Linked DNA regions of Arabidopsis thaliana. The protein of the gene in region 1 interacts with the protein of each later gene in a pairwise test. Each region holds a gene or a part of one and is shown in the gene's direction. Other genes may lie near its edges.

The links.
Region 2: the proteins of VAMP714 (region 1) and AT4G30780 interact in a two-hybrid assay, tested with the Arabidopsis thaliana proteins (one large-scale study listed by BioGRID).
Region 3: the proteins of VAMP714 (region 1) and AT1G16500 interact in a two-hybrid assay, tested with the Arabidopsis thaliana proteins (one large-scale study listed by BioGRID).

What each region holds. Positions count from the first base shown.
Region 1 is NC_003076.8:7,403,502-7,407,538, reverse strand, and holds VAMP714 (vesicle-associated membrane protein 714), read left to right. Parts: upstream 1-1,655; 5' UTR 1,656-1,884; coding exon 1,885-2,104; intron 2,105-2,211; coding exon 2,212-2,402; intron 2,403-2,570; coding exon 2,571-2,734; intron 2,735-3,069; coding exon 3,070-3,160; 3' UTR 3,161-3,535; downstream 3,536-4,037. Other genes in the region: QQT1 (P-loop containing nucleoside triphosphate hydrolases superfamily protein), read right to left, coding at 1-99, 189-263, 354-433, 509-553, 861-952; AT5G22355 (Cysteine/Histidine-rich C1 domain family protein), read right to left, coding at 3,783-4,037. UniProt on the Arabidopsis thaliana protein: Involved in the targeting and/or fusion of transport vesicles to their target membrane.
Region 2 is NC_003075.7:14,988,736-14,993,647, forward strand, and holds AT4G30780 (ATP-dependent DNA helicase), read left to right. Parts: upstream 1-1,550; 5' UTR 1,551-1,787; coding exon 1,788-1,928; intron 1,929-2,101; coding exon 2,102-2,416; intron 2,417-2,500; coding exon 2,501-2,674; intron 2,675-2,757; coding exon 2,758-2,864; intron 2,865-2,950; coding exon 2,951-3,252; intron 3,253-3,389; coding exon 3,390-4,120; 3' UTR 4,121-4,350; downstream 4,351-4,912. Other genes in the region: AT4G30790 (autophagy-like protein), read right to left, coding at 4,648-4,912.
Region 3 is NC_003070.9:5,637,004-5,640,745, forward strand, and holds AT1G16500 (filamentous hemagglutinin transporter), read left to right. Parts: upstream 1-1,775; 5' UTR 1,776-2,075; coding exon 2,076-2,303; intron 2,304-2,440; coding exon 2,441-2,992; 3' UTR 2,993-3,199; downstream 3,200-3,742.

The sequences.
Region 1 (4,037 bases):
GGTTCAATGATTTAATCAGCTTCGTGAGAACATTCTTGGTACTGTCATGAATGAAGAACAATTCCACTTGGCCAGGAAAATCAAAGAGAATGTAATGATCTGCAAACAATTCAAAACGTTTTACTTTAAGAAAGAGATATTATGACCACGAAAAGAAGAAGAAGAAGAAGGGACATATCGTTGCTAACCCTTCAGAAGAGGCTTTAGTTTAGATTCCAGCCAGTCAATGTTTTTCTCCAAGTACTCCATACAATATACAAGACCTGTCACATTAGAAAGTTTCTTTGTTAATTTGACCAAAGATTAAAATCAAAAGTAAGAAGAAAAGGGAAAATCAAGATGGCAAAATTCACCTCCATTAGGACCAAGCGAGTGTTCCGACATAACATCTTCTAACTTGATCAATTCTTCTATATTCACACCACACTCATAACTAAAATCAATGTCAAGAAACAACATACACCTGCAATTTTTAACAATTTTGTTGTATTTGGCTTGAAAAGGATACGGTAATGCATCATTTGCAGGATCCAGATTAACAATAGCAACCTTCCTGCAACAACAACAAAATAGTAACTCAACGTTAAGAGAATTTACTTACAGAGAAGTTCTCACGAATCTGCAAATCTCTCTACCAAAAACAAAGACAAGGCAACAACATTTCACAATGACTCTGCTCAAAAGTCAGACAATTCAAATTTCTGGAATTCAACACTATTATTTACTAAAGTTTGCAACTTGTAAACTTTACAATGCGAGGGACAGCGAAACAATCAATACAAACAGAATTACAGATACAAAAGCCAAGTAAGCTTCATTCTTTGATCCAAAAAGAGAAGAGAAGAGAAAGAACATGAAACCTGCCCATTAGAGAGAGGAACTGAGACATTCCATTGCAATAAGTGGTCTTTCCCGATCCTGGAGGACCTATTACTACTTGTCCAAACACCATGCTTCTGAAGACGAAGAAGAAGATTGATACCAATCGGAGTCAAACACGTTGTATAATATCAGAGCCAGTCAGACAAAAAAACACAGTAATTGCAAAGCAAAATCATCTAATCATCAAACTAACATAACATGAATATTCAATAGAGAACATCAAAACCCTTCTAAACACTGAGCTCGTAGCACAATAGAAATCGGAAATGTCATTTGTTCGTCGGACACAGAATACAAACACAATCCTCCAATATTATTAACCCAATTCCTAAACCTCGTTTATAATACAACAAACAATTCACTGGAGAAAGAGAAGCAGAGAAACAATTTGCTTCAAGAGCATATTCATTATATCAGAAGCAACTGGAGACACAGAAGAAAATAAATAGAGAAGCTCGCCTGTGTAGTTAGCCGGAGAGAGAAGCAATGACAGGTCTGTTTGCCGGAGCAAGAGAAACTCGCAGCCGGAGACTCGTCGAAGACTCGATTCAAGGCGAAGTAAGCTCGCCGAAGACTCGATCGGTATATTTAAATTAGGGCTTTAATTTTAATTCGGTTTATTCGTGCTATACTCGAACCGAACCGGATAATCGAAATTAAAAAGAAGGAAACGATCAAGTTATTATTGGAGTATCCGAACCCAAACCGAAAAGTGAATTTCGGGTCGGTTTGTTTTCGGATAAGTTACCAAGGCCTAATAAATTGGTAAACCGTAAACCGATGCATCAGGGTTTAAAATGTAACAAAATAATATTTTAGGTGACAATTAAAAACGTAACAATAAAACAAGGGGTTATATTCGAAACGTTTGCACCTAACCTTATAACTTCGCATTTTTATACTCTGTTCTGATCGCAGCAAAGCCGACGTTGAACTTTCTCGCCGCCGGAGCGCGTGATCTCCACTCTCTGTCATCGAATCACTCTAATTGAAGATTCTCCGATGGCGATTGTCTATGCTGTTGTAGCGAGAGGTACCGTGGTATTAGCTGAATTCAGCGCCGTTACGGGAAACACAGGCGCCGTGGTGCGACGGATCCTCGAGAAGCTTTCACCGGAAATCTCCGATGAAAGACTTTGTTTCTCTCAAGATCGTTATATCTTCCATATTCTTAGATCTGATGGTCTTACCTTTCTCTGTATGGCCAATGATACCTTTGGAAGTAAGTATTTTTCACTTTCTCCGAATCGTAATCTCTCTTAAGAAGATTTAGTCTTTGTAATTGATTCTGAGTTTTATGTTTTGATGTGTTGGTGATTGGATTTTCAGGGAGGGTTCCATTTTCGTATTTGGAAGAGATTCATATGAGATTCATGAAAAACTATGGCAAAGTGGCTCATAATGCTCCAGCTTATGCAATGAATGATGAATTCTCAAGGGTTTTGCATCAGCAGATGGAGTTCTTCTCTAGTAATCCTAGTGTTGATACTCTCAATCGTGTTAGAGGAGAAGTCAGTGAGGTATAATTGTTTCTTCGTATGATCTCTAGATATTACTCAGCTATATCCATTGAAAAGGTTGAATTTTTATGAGTTATTACGCCTTCTTGGCTCACACAGGCTTCTTTAAATCTGTCTTGGGTGAAAGATGAAGTTTGTTATCTCATTGTTGTGTTATCGTGTTTACAGATTCGATCGGTCATGGTAGAGAACATTGAGAAGATAATGGAAAGAGGTGATAGGATTGAGCTTCTTGTTGATAAAACAGCAACAATGCAAGATAGCTCGTTTCACTTCAGGAAGCAATCTAAGCGCCTTCGCCGAGCTCTTTGGATGAAAAATGCTAAGCTCCTGTAAGGATCTCTCTCACTTCTAGATTCTCTTCATTCCTTTTCTTTGCTAACTAAGAGATACGCTCTTCTACATTCTAGGTGTTTCAACTCGCCTTTGCAGCATAGTTTATTGATATGTTTCTTAAACTAGAGATACAGTAGTTCTAAGATTCAACATTATTTTCGATTTTGGGAAATTCTCCTCGACAAAATATCTAATTTTTGGCTGATAGGAACTACACTGCCTTGATTCCACCTCTGCTTAAAGAAATTTCATTATTGTTTTGTTTTGATGCTTGAGTTCCAGATCACTTTTATTAATCAACAAAACTGCTTTTCTTGTTTGTGTTCGGCAGGGTCTTGTTGACATGCTTGATAGTTTTCTTGCTGTACATAATAATCGCATCTTTCTGCGGAGGAATCACTTTACCATCATGCAGATCTTAAAATCTGGCGGCCTTATCTAAGGTATACTGAAACGGACCACTGTTTTTGTAAATCAACTCAGTCGCATCATTTCGATTTGAAGCCTTGGTTTTGTCATGAAAATGACTGTGAGTTTGAAGTTACATGTCATGGTCCTCCTTGCTTATGTAACTCTTGTAAATGTCAAAATCAAAATGATACAGAGGTTCATTGAACTCTTGCCTTGTCTTTTAGATTTAGTCACGTGAGTGAGTTTGTTCTCTGTATTTCCAAAACTTTATCCGCTGTGTCTTTATAATTTTTGCATTTGCAATGTACATCACATATTCGTTATTTTTGTTGTTAAAATTACTTCAGTTTTCATCTTTGTTTAATAACATTTCTGATTCACAAATATCTGTTTCCATCATTTCTGTCTATGTTTTCATTAACTAAATCATATTAGTTGCTACTACCTTTTTAGCAAGTTTGTCATAACTTGTTACGACTTTATATATGTCATCGATACAGTTTAATCCTGCCTGTACTGATGAACACAGTATGAATATAACCAGAATGCTTAGCACTTGTAGTTGGAAATAAACTCTTACATCCAAAAAATTACGAGAAACAATAGAGTGAAATAAACAGCTACATAGTTGTCTTAGCTGTATTGATAGTCGGGCACTACACATGCATCGGAACAAATGTATCCAGTATATGGATCACAAAGCTTTAGAATGATAGGAGCTCTGCATCTGGAGTGACATTTTGCACAGAAGGGGCGAGAACTATAGCTGTTAAGAACCACTTCAACTCTAACATTATTGTAGTTGATGATGCGTCCTGGCATGAGACGTGAAAAGTCTCCAAGCACACATTCAATATGTGCAGTAACCACACATTTAGAGCAAGTGTA
Region 2 (4,912 bases), on another chromosome or scaffold:
ACGAGCTGAGGAGCTTGATGGCGATCTGAGTACCTTGAGGACGAGCTGAGGAGCTAGAGAACGAGCTGAGGAGCTTGAAGACGTTTTAATATGGATTTCTTCCTCCTTTTTTCCATGCCTCTCTATTTATAGAAAAACTAAGCTCACTACATAAAAGGTATAATATGGTACTTTAACCTTGATCATTGTGACGTTGGTCTCCACCATATTGGCATAGCAGCTAACGGAGGCCAGCAATCTACATGTATGTCATGCTATTATTATGTAGAGGAAGGACTGAAGAGGGAAAAACCTATATGAGCCAACTTGAATGGGCTAAAGACACCACCATGGCTGAAACGTGTTGGAAACAAATCAAAACTTCACTAAATGGGATTAGAGTGGCGAGAAAAAGATTGTACATGATATCACTTCGCAACATGAAACCCCCCGACGTGTGCCATCCAAGAGATTTGGACAACACATGTGAGAAATGTTTTTTCTACAAACAAATGTTTAAGTTTATTTTTATGGTATAACTTAAACAAAACATTTAGAGAGTTGGAAACTGTTTTTAAAAAATTCCCTATAATGTTTGAGCAGTGAACTATCACAAAGACTCAAAACAAAGTTATTACTCTTATTTCTTTTGCTTTAATGTGTGTCTTTCCTTGCTGTTGTAAGGAAATTTATATTTACAATAAAATCAAACTTTTAATTAATTATCTAAGCATATCGTACTTTCAATGTTAATATTGTTATAATCCAACTCTTTTTGGCTAATTCGCGAAGAGACGTTGAAAAGTGAAATCTTCCCAAAACCAAAGAGTAGTTTCTAAGATTTTAACAGAGACACAAAGAGAAAAAACAAATGGGCGGGTTCATATTGGGCCAAAATTAACAATGGCAACGATGTGTAAAATAACTTCGTCGTTAGTCTCTGTTCTTCGCTATCCTCTGCAGCAACCGCTTAATACGAGAGAGAGAGAGAGATTTCCATTGTATTTTTAATTTAAAATAAAATATATAAAAACAAGACCAATGTAACAAATGCATTGCTTAGATATATATAACTCTAAAAAATATTCTTACAAGATAGTAAGTTTGGTCTATTGTCCTATAAATTCTAGCATATAACTGGTAACAATATGAAAAAAAAATGTAAAACTATACATAGATTACAAAAATGTAGAAATCAAAAAATAAGATTAGCAAATAACAAAGATATTCACCTTTTAATCAAAGATCAGTAAAAAAAATCGAAGTTATAATTACATACTAACAAAACCAAAAACAAACCACCAACGCGCGTGTCTCCTCCCTAGTTAATTAAAGGCAAAAGGAAGACGAGTAACACGTGGCAAATACTCTATCTGTAGCCGTCATAAAAAAAATTGTGGGACCCTACACCCTATAAATCAAGAACTACTGGTTGTTCGCCAGCGAATTAACTAAAATATTTAATAAACATAAGAAATGACAAGTTTAGCCCTCTTTCCATAGGCATAACATGGTGGCTAATTTGGGAATTTCAGCAGCATTCGGAGTCAAAATAACGATAGCGCGTGTCGGTGAAATCGCGGTATACGCGCGTCGATAGCCGCCAGGAGAATCCTTTTTTTACACAATCAAAGAGAGAGATCCCGTAAATGTTTTATACTCTGATTTCTAGGGTTTGCTTTTGATTCTCTTTCGCGTTCCAGATAAATAAATCCTTTTGTGGAATAATTTCGTGATTTCGTTTGTGGGTTATCCGAATTTTGTCTGAATTTGAGTTTTTGAGAAGGAAAGGTTTGTTTTTTCGGGGGATGGTGGAAATGAGGAAATCTGGAGGTTTAAGACCGGAGTCTGAATCGGCGGCCAGGTGCCGAGATGAGCTACCGGTGAAATTGGAGATTGCTGAAGATGATTTAGAAGAAGAGCATGGTCCTCTCAACAAACGATCTAGGGTTTGTTTATTTCTCTCCTTTTGTTTTTTTCTTCTCAGATGAGCTGATCTAATTCAGTTTCTGCGATAATTCAATAGCAATTCTTAGCATGCAGTGATGGTTTTATATTTAGCTGGTTGTGAATTGTTTGGTGATGTATTTTTTTTAATTATTGATTGTTGCATTGAATTTAGTTATGGAGTCCTGGGACAAGCTCATCGACAATGGCACCAGCTAAGTATAACCCGCTTGATGAGCCGAGTCCTCTTGGATTGAGTCTTAAGAAGAGTCCATCTTTGTTGGAGTTGATTCAGATGAAGATAACGCATTGTGGTGATCCTAAAGCAGCTGAAACGTTGAAAGCTGGTGCACTTGGCTCTGGTCTTAAGAGAGAAAGTAAAACTATTGCTGCTGCTGCATCAGTTGGACCGACTTTGGCGCCAGGAAGTATTGAGAAGCTGAAAGCTTCTAACTTTCCTGCTTCGCTTTTGAAGATCGGGCAGTGGGAGGTGAGTCCTGCGAAATGTTTCGTTTTGATATGTTTTCATGGTGGTTTCAAAATCTGACTTGACTTGGTTTCTTTTTTTGTGCAGTATAAATCGAGGTATGAAGGTGATTTGGTGGCAAAGTGTTACTTTGCTAAACACAAACTTGTTTGGGAAGTGTTGGAACAAGGTCTTAAGAGTAAAATCGAGATCCAGTGGTCAGATATTATGGCTTTGAAGGCAAACTGTCCTGAAGACGGACCTGGAACTTTGACTCTCGTGGTATAACATTCACTCATGTTCTTTTCTTTTGCTCAACATATCACTCTTGTTCAACTTTAATGATTTGACTCTTTATGTTTCAGCTTGCTAGACAGCCCTTATTTTTCCGGGAAACAAACCCACAGCCTAGAAAGCATACCTTGTGGCAGGCGACATCAGATTTCACTGATGGCCAAGCCAGCATGAACAGGTACAGGCATTTCATGTAAATTTTTTCTGAATAAATTTGGTGATGTCCTAGCTTCAGCTAACGATAGTCTCCCTGTGATCTGTTAGGCAGCATTTTCTGCAATGTGCTCAAGGGATAATGAACAAACATTTTGAAAAGCTCGTTCAATGTGATCATCGTCTGTTCCATCTAAGCCGACAGCCGGAGATAGCTATTGACTCTCCCTACTTTGATGCACGGCAATCTATTTTTGAGGATCCAAGTGAATCAAAAGGCCATCCTTTTGGGAATTTGAATCTTAGTACAGGTCCTTCGATCTCTGGGACTCAGAATTTAGCATCTCCTGTTGGGGCTCAGTCATCATCTGAGCATATGTATCTGTCTCATGAAGCACCATCACCCAGCTCAGGTATTATGATGACTGCTCGCTCATTCTAGTTGCTTTCATAACTCGTTATTAGAATATAATTTTTCATTTTCACTTTTGTTGAACCTGATTAGGATTGTGGATTTATATTTCTGTTTGTTTGCTTCGTTCATCTCTAGTGATAGATGCTCGTGCAAATGAAGGAATTGGGGGTTCTGAAGCAGTCAATTCAAGAAACAGAACAGATTGTGGTCAGATCGAAGCACCTGGAATACACCAATCTATGTCACTGAGTGATTTCCTTGCGGTTCTCTGTGATACAAAAAACACAACGGATTTGAATCTGGCTGACGACGTAGATGGACTACACCAATCTATGTCAGTTAGTGATTTCGTTGCATATTTATCTGATTCAAGAAACATAACTGATTCAGATCAGATAAAAGTACCTGGACTACACCAATCTATGTCAGTGAGCGATTTCGTTGGACTTCTCTCTGATTCTGCTGGTGGAAGTCATCCGGAACATATGGAGAAATTTGAGATCATGAAACAGCAGTTGCTAAGTGATAATATCCAGTTCGAGGCACCAGATGAGAAGTCTCTCATGCCAAGGGTTAACTCTTTATTCAACCTCTTGTACAAGGATCCCAACGTCGCTGCAAACTCACAGCTCAATACCGAAATGTCGGTTGGATTGAAGTCTGAACCCAAGGGAATTGTTTCTGACAACAACAACAACAACAACAACAACAACAGAGTTCTTGATACAGCTTCTAGCAGCAAACCACAGGGTATGTTAAGGAAAGACTCATTCAGCGATTTGCTATTACACCTCCCCCGGATCACATCCTTGCCAAAGTTCTTGTCCAACATTTCAGAAGAAGATGGTGATGCATATAATAGATAATTTATAGATACCGCCTTTCTTTTCTGGATTTGGCAAGTATAGGAACCTGGACTAGTAGCTTTTCTGTTTTTTTTTTCTTGTAAATCAAAATTATCACTTGGTAACTACAACCCCCACAGGGATTTGAAGAAACATGTTTTGATGATTAATTTCTGTATATTATTCCCAATATAAACCAAAGTTGGCAGAGGCAAAAGATTCCATTATTTATCCTAAAACTTTTTTATTTTCTCGTAATATTTAGTAATCTTTTTATTACAGCATTCAAATTATAGCAGAGTATGTACAATACAAGGAGAAAAGATTAAACTAAGATCAGTGATCATCAGCTGTACATAAAGAAGAAAGATATGAAAATAAAAGAAAGTTAAAGAAGAGACAAATGAAACCCACAAATCATATAAAGGGGCTGTCTGGTTTTAGATTGTGTTATTTGAATTCAAAGTATTTACATTTTTTGTTCTTTTTTGGGGGGAGGGGGTTTCTTCCATCACGTCTATCTGCTGCCTTAGGAACAAGCAAAAGGATCAGGAAGCTTGTTGATGAATAGCAGTGTCAGGAAGCATTGCTATTGTCACTATGAAGTATTCACATCCTGAAGAGAGACCATAAGGGTTTGATGTTGTTGTTGCTGAAGTTGATGTTGAGATTGAACTTGATGCCAGAGTTCTCGAGCCCTGGTCTGAGCAGAGATGATGTGTCTTACCCGCCTCAGGAGAAGCAGAAGCTGAAAGTTGTGATGGCAGTTTCACTATTTGGCGCTCTATGTGGACAATCTGTCCAACAATGTAT
Region 3 (3,742 bases), on another chromosome or scaffold:
CCGACGGAAAGATACGTCAAACGTGGTCAAGAGCCCATGCAACAATCTAGCCTAAAAAATATTTTAAAATAATAATAATAATAATAATCAAACCTTTTCCTTATAAATTTAATTAATAAAAATTAATTGGTAAATTGCTGATTTATGTTGATATTATTTATATATATTGTAGATTATAAATATAAATGATATTCTTATATTTTAAAAAGACAATAGAACGTTACAAGTTTGAATAATAAATTTTGACCGGTAAATTGATGGTTTGTGTTGATATCATTACGTATTATATATTATTGACAAAAAACATAAATACTGATATTTTTAGATTTTAAAATTTGAAAATAGAACGTTATAAATTTTAACTAGTAAGTTGGTTGTTTGTGTTAATATCGTTTGTATTATATAAAATCGACAAAAAAATAAACGATATTTTAATTTTTCAAAAGGTAATAGAACGTTGTAAGTTTAAATAATAAATTTGACTGATAAATTAGCAGTTTGTGTTAATATCATTGTATAGATTATATATTATTGACAAAAAACGTATATGACATTTTGGATTTTTAAAAAGATAATAGAACATTATAAATTTTAATGGTAATATCGTTGTCCATATTATATATTATCGACAAAGGTTCTAAAAAAGACAATACAATCTTGAAAAGTTTTTTTCTAACGCCTTATAACGGTTACTTTATTTAATTTAGTTCTCTATAATTTTATATTAAATGAATATTATCAAATAATTTAAATTTATATCAAATTATAACAATAGTAGTATAATTTTTTTTGTTTCAGTTAACTTGAAATCCTTAACTCTAAATTTCAAACGTTAAATTCTTAGAAAATATACCATGAATATAAAAGTTGAAATTCTAAACTCATAAATCATAAAATTTAACTCACAACAAAAATATATTTTACTCTAAAATATAAACTAATTCACCATAGTCGAATATAGGTATGCAACAACAGAAAGAATATAGGTATAGACAGACTGAATAGTGGCTGAAATTATTGGGGACATAAAAAACATATCCAACCTATGGCCTTAATATGTGTAAGAGTTTGGTTCTAATAAGATTTCGAAAAGTCAAGAAATATATGAAGGATATGTTCTTGTTTTATCTTTTTTGCTAAAGGGATATAGATTGGTGTTAAACACATAATACTAATGGTGGTTTACTCTAAATACCACATTCGTACCAATACCTACTTCATTAAATATCTTTGACGTGCCCAATAAAAAAGAGAAGACGAAGTGCATTAAATACATGGTTCATCAATGCGTGTAGTTAATTGAGTAATTAATTGAATTTGAACGTAAGACTAAGAAAAATTTGAAAATTATGATTACAACAAGTAGAGAGAGAGGAGTATGACAAGGGGTAAAATATGTAATTTAATGGATAGAAGCTTGAATCTACTTGTAGTTTCCATGCATTTAATGCGTTTTATTTTCTTAGCATTTATTACACTTTGTGTCTGCTTCCTCCTTGAATTCCTCCCTCCACACCTTTTCTTTGGCCTTTTTGCTGTTAATTTGTTACTCTTATTTATTTATTCATTTAATACTTATGTTGGCAACAACAAAAAAAAGAGTTTGAAAGTTTAGTTCGTCGATGAAAAAGATGATTCATAAAGTTCTGAATTATGGGTTTGATGATATTTACCTTAGCCTTTTTCCACTTAGGCATGAATGGAATGGGTACAATCTCCAGTTTATAAACGTATGACAAAAATATGAAATATGAAATGATTCATATACTATCTTTCACAGATTGTAAGGTGTAGAATACAAAATTACACATGAAATTAAATCTTTCACGGTAGACAAAAGATGGTACAACAATAAAGAATTTCCATGCAAACAAAAGTATCCTAGTATATTCACAATAAATGAAAGAAATTAATTGGCTATAAATTTACTACTTATAACCGTCCTCGTAATTAACTTTGAGAGTAGAAGGCTCTGTTTTTCTTACAATGGCCCCATCTATATAACTCTCTCTCTGCCTAACAGACCCCATAACTGACCTCCCCTCTCTCTCTCTCTTTCTCTCTGCTTTCTTGGTATGGCTGCTGACGTCAGCTCTCTCGTACGGATACTGAGTAGGTTCAAGGATGATCGGACGGTTGTAAAAGATTCCACCGGACCAAGATCCACGGTGGCGCTCATGACACGCGATCTCCTCGGAATCGGCGGTTGTGTGGGTGGAGGAGGAGGAGGAGACGAACAGTCGCTGGAGCTTGACCTTGACGTCCAAGTCCCTAACGGATGGGAAAAACGTCTCGACTTAAAGGTTCGTCGCTATTTTCTTTCTTCTTGATTTTTGTAGTTTCGTGTTCTCGAGAGAATTTGGAGATAAGAAACTAACAAAACAGAGAGGTTTCCAAAGATTTGAATGATTTATAGATTCGTTGTGATTTTTTTGAACAGTCAGGGAAAGTGTATCTGCAACAACAATGCAATTCAACGAGCTCGTCATCATCGTCTCATCATCATCATCATCATCACGAAGACCAAACCAACCAAACAGTTCCAAGATTTCAAGATTTGAATGTGCCACCGATTTCCGATAAGTTTCCGGCGAAACCATTGTTAAGCCTCTTCGACGATGACGACGACACAAGCCTTGAACTGAAGCTAGTTCCGTCTTCTATCTCTCGTCCTCTTCCTCCTCCTCTGTCTTCTTTTTCTCCAAATCAGTCTCTCTCGTATCTATCGAGTGTTTGCACACTAGATAAGGTGAAATTGGCTTTGGAAAGGGCGGAGAAAGATACAAAGAAACGCCAATCTCCTGAAGATGACGGCGTTTACGATGGAACCGCTTCTGCCACCGTCGCGGCGTCTCAGGTGGCGGCTGGATGTCCAGGGTGCTTATCGTACGTGTTTGTGGCAAAGAACAATCCGAAATGCCCGAGGTGTCATTCGTTTGTTCCTTTGCCTGCCATGAAGAAGCCTAAGATTGATCTTAACATTTCGATGTGAAAAAAACTTTGGGGGATAGAATTGAATGGTTTTATTTTGTAGGTTCGATTTCTGTAAATGATAGATAAAATCAGGGGGTTTCATTGAAAAGAAATTAAATGCAGAAAGGAAGAGATGGATGTTATTTTGTAAATTGTTATGTAATGGATTTTCTCTGATGAATGAATAGTTGATCTTTAATTATTTGAAAAACGCTCTAATTAATTAGATACTACTAGAGAGTAAGAGGTAACCAAATTATACTCTTATATTATTTGGTCAACATATTTCATTATATTTACTTCAACTGTACTGGTATTTATTCCGCATCTTAAAGAACCCAATGTTTTTATTTGTCATATTAAGGAAGCAACTTAAGTCACGGGTTAGTTCAAAGTTAGTTGGAGAAATTTATATAAGTTACTTTATTATTCTCTCTGTTTCGAGATATATTTTAGTATATGTTTAGTTTTTATACATGATGTATACTGTATAAAAACTTATTTGCAATTACAAAGTGTATACCATTGTTTGTATATTCATATTATTTAGAAAATTTCTTTAGTATTAAATTAGGTGTAAACTAAAAGGTAAAATAAAAAACATTCAATGAAAAAAAAAATCTAATTTCTGAAACGAGAAGAAATATTCCACAACATCTAGTATTTGAAACGGATGGAGTATTTTGAAAATCATATTCTTATACAAAATGCACACGCTTGCAGCCTTAAACAATCTGGCTTGATTCTTTTATTTTAGTGTAACGGAATA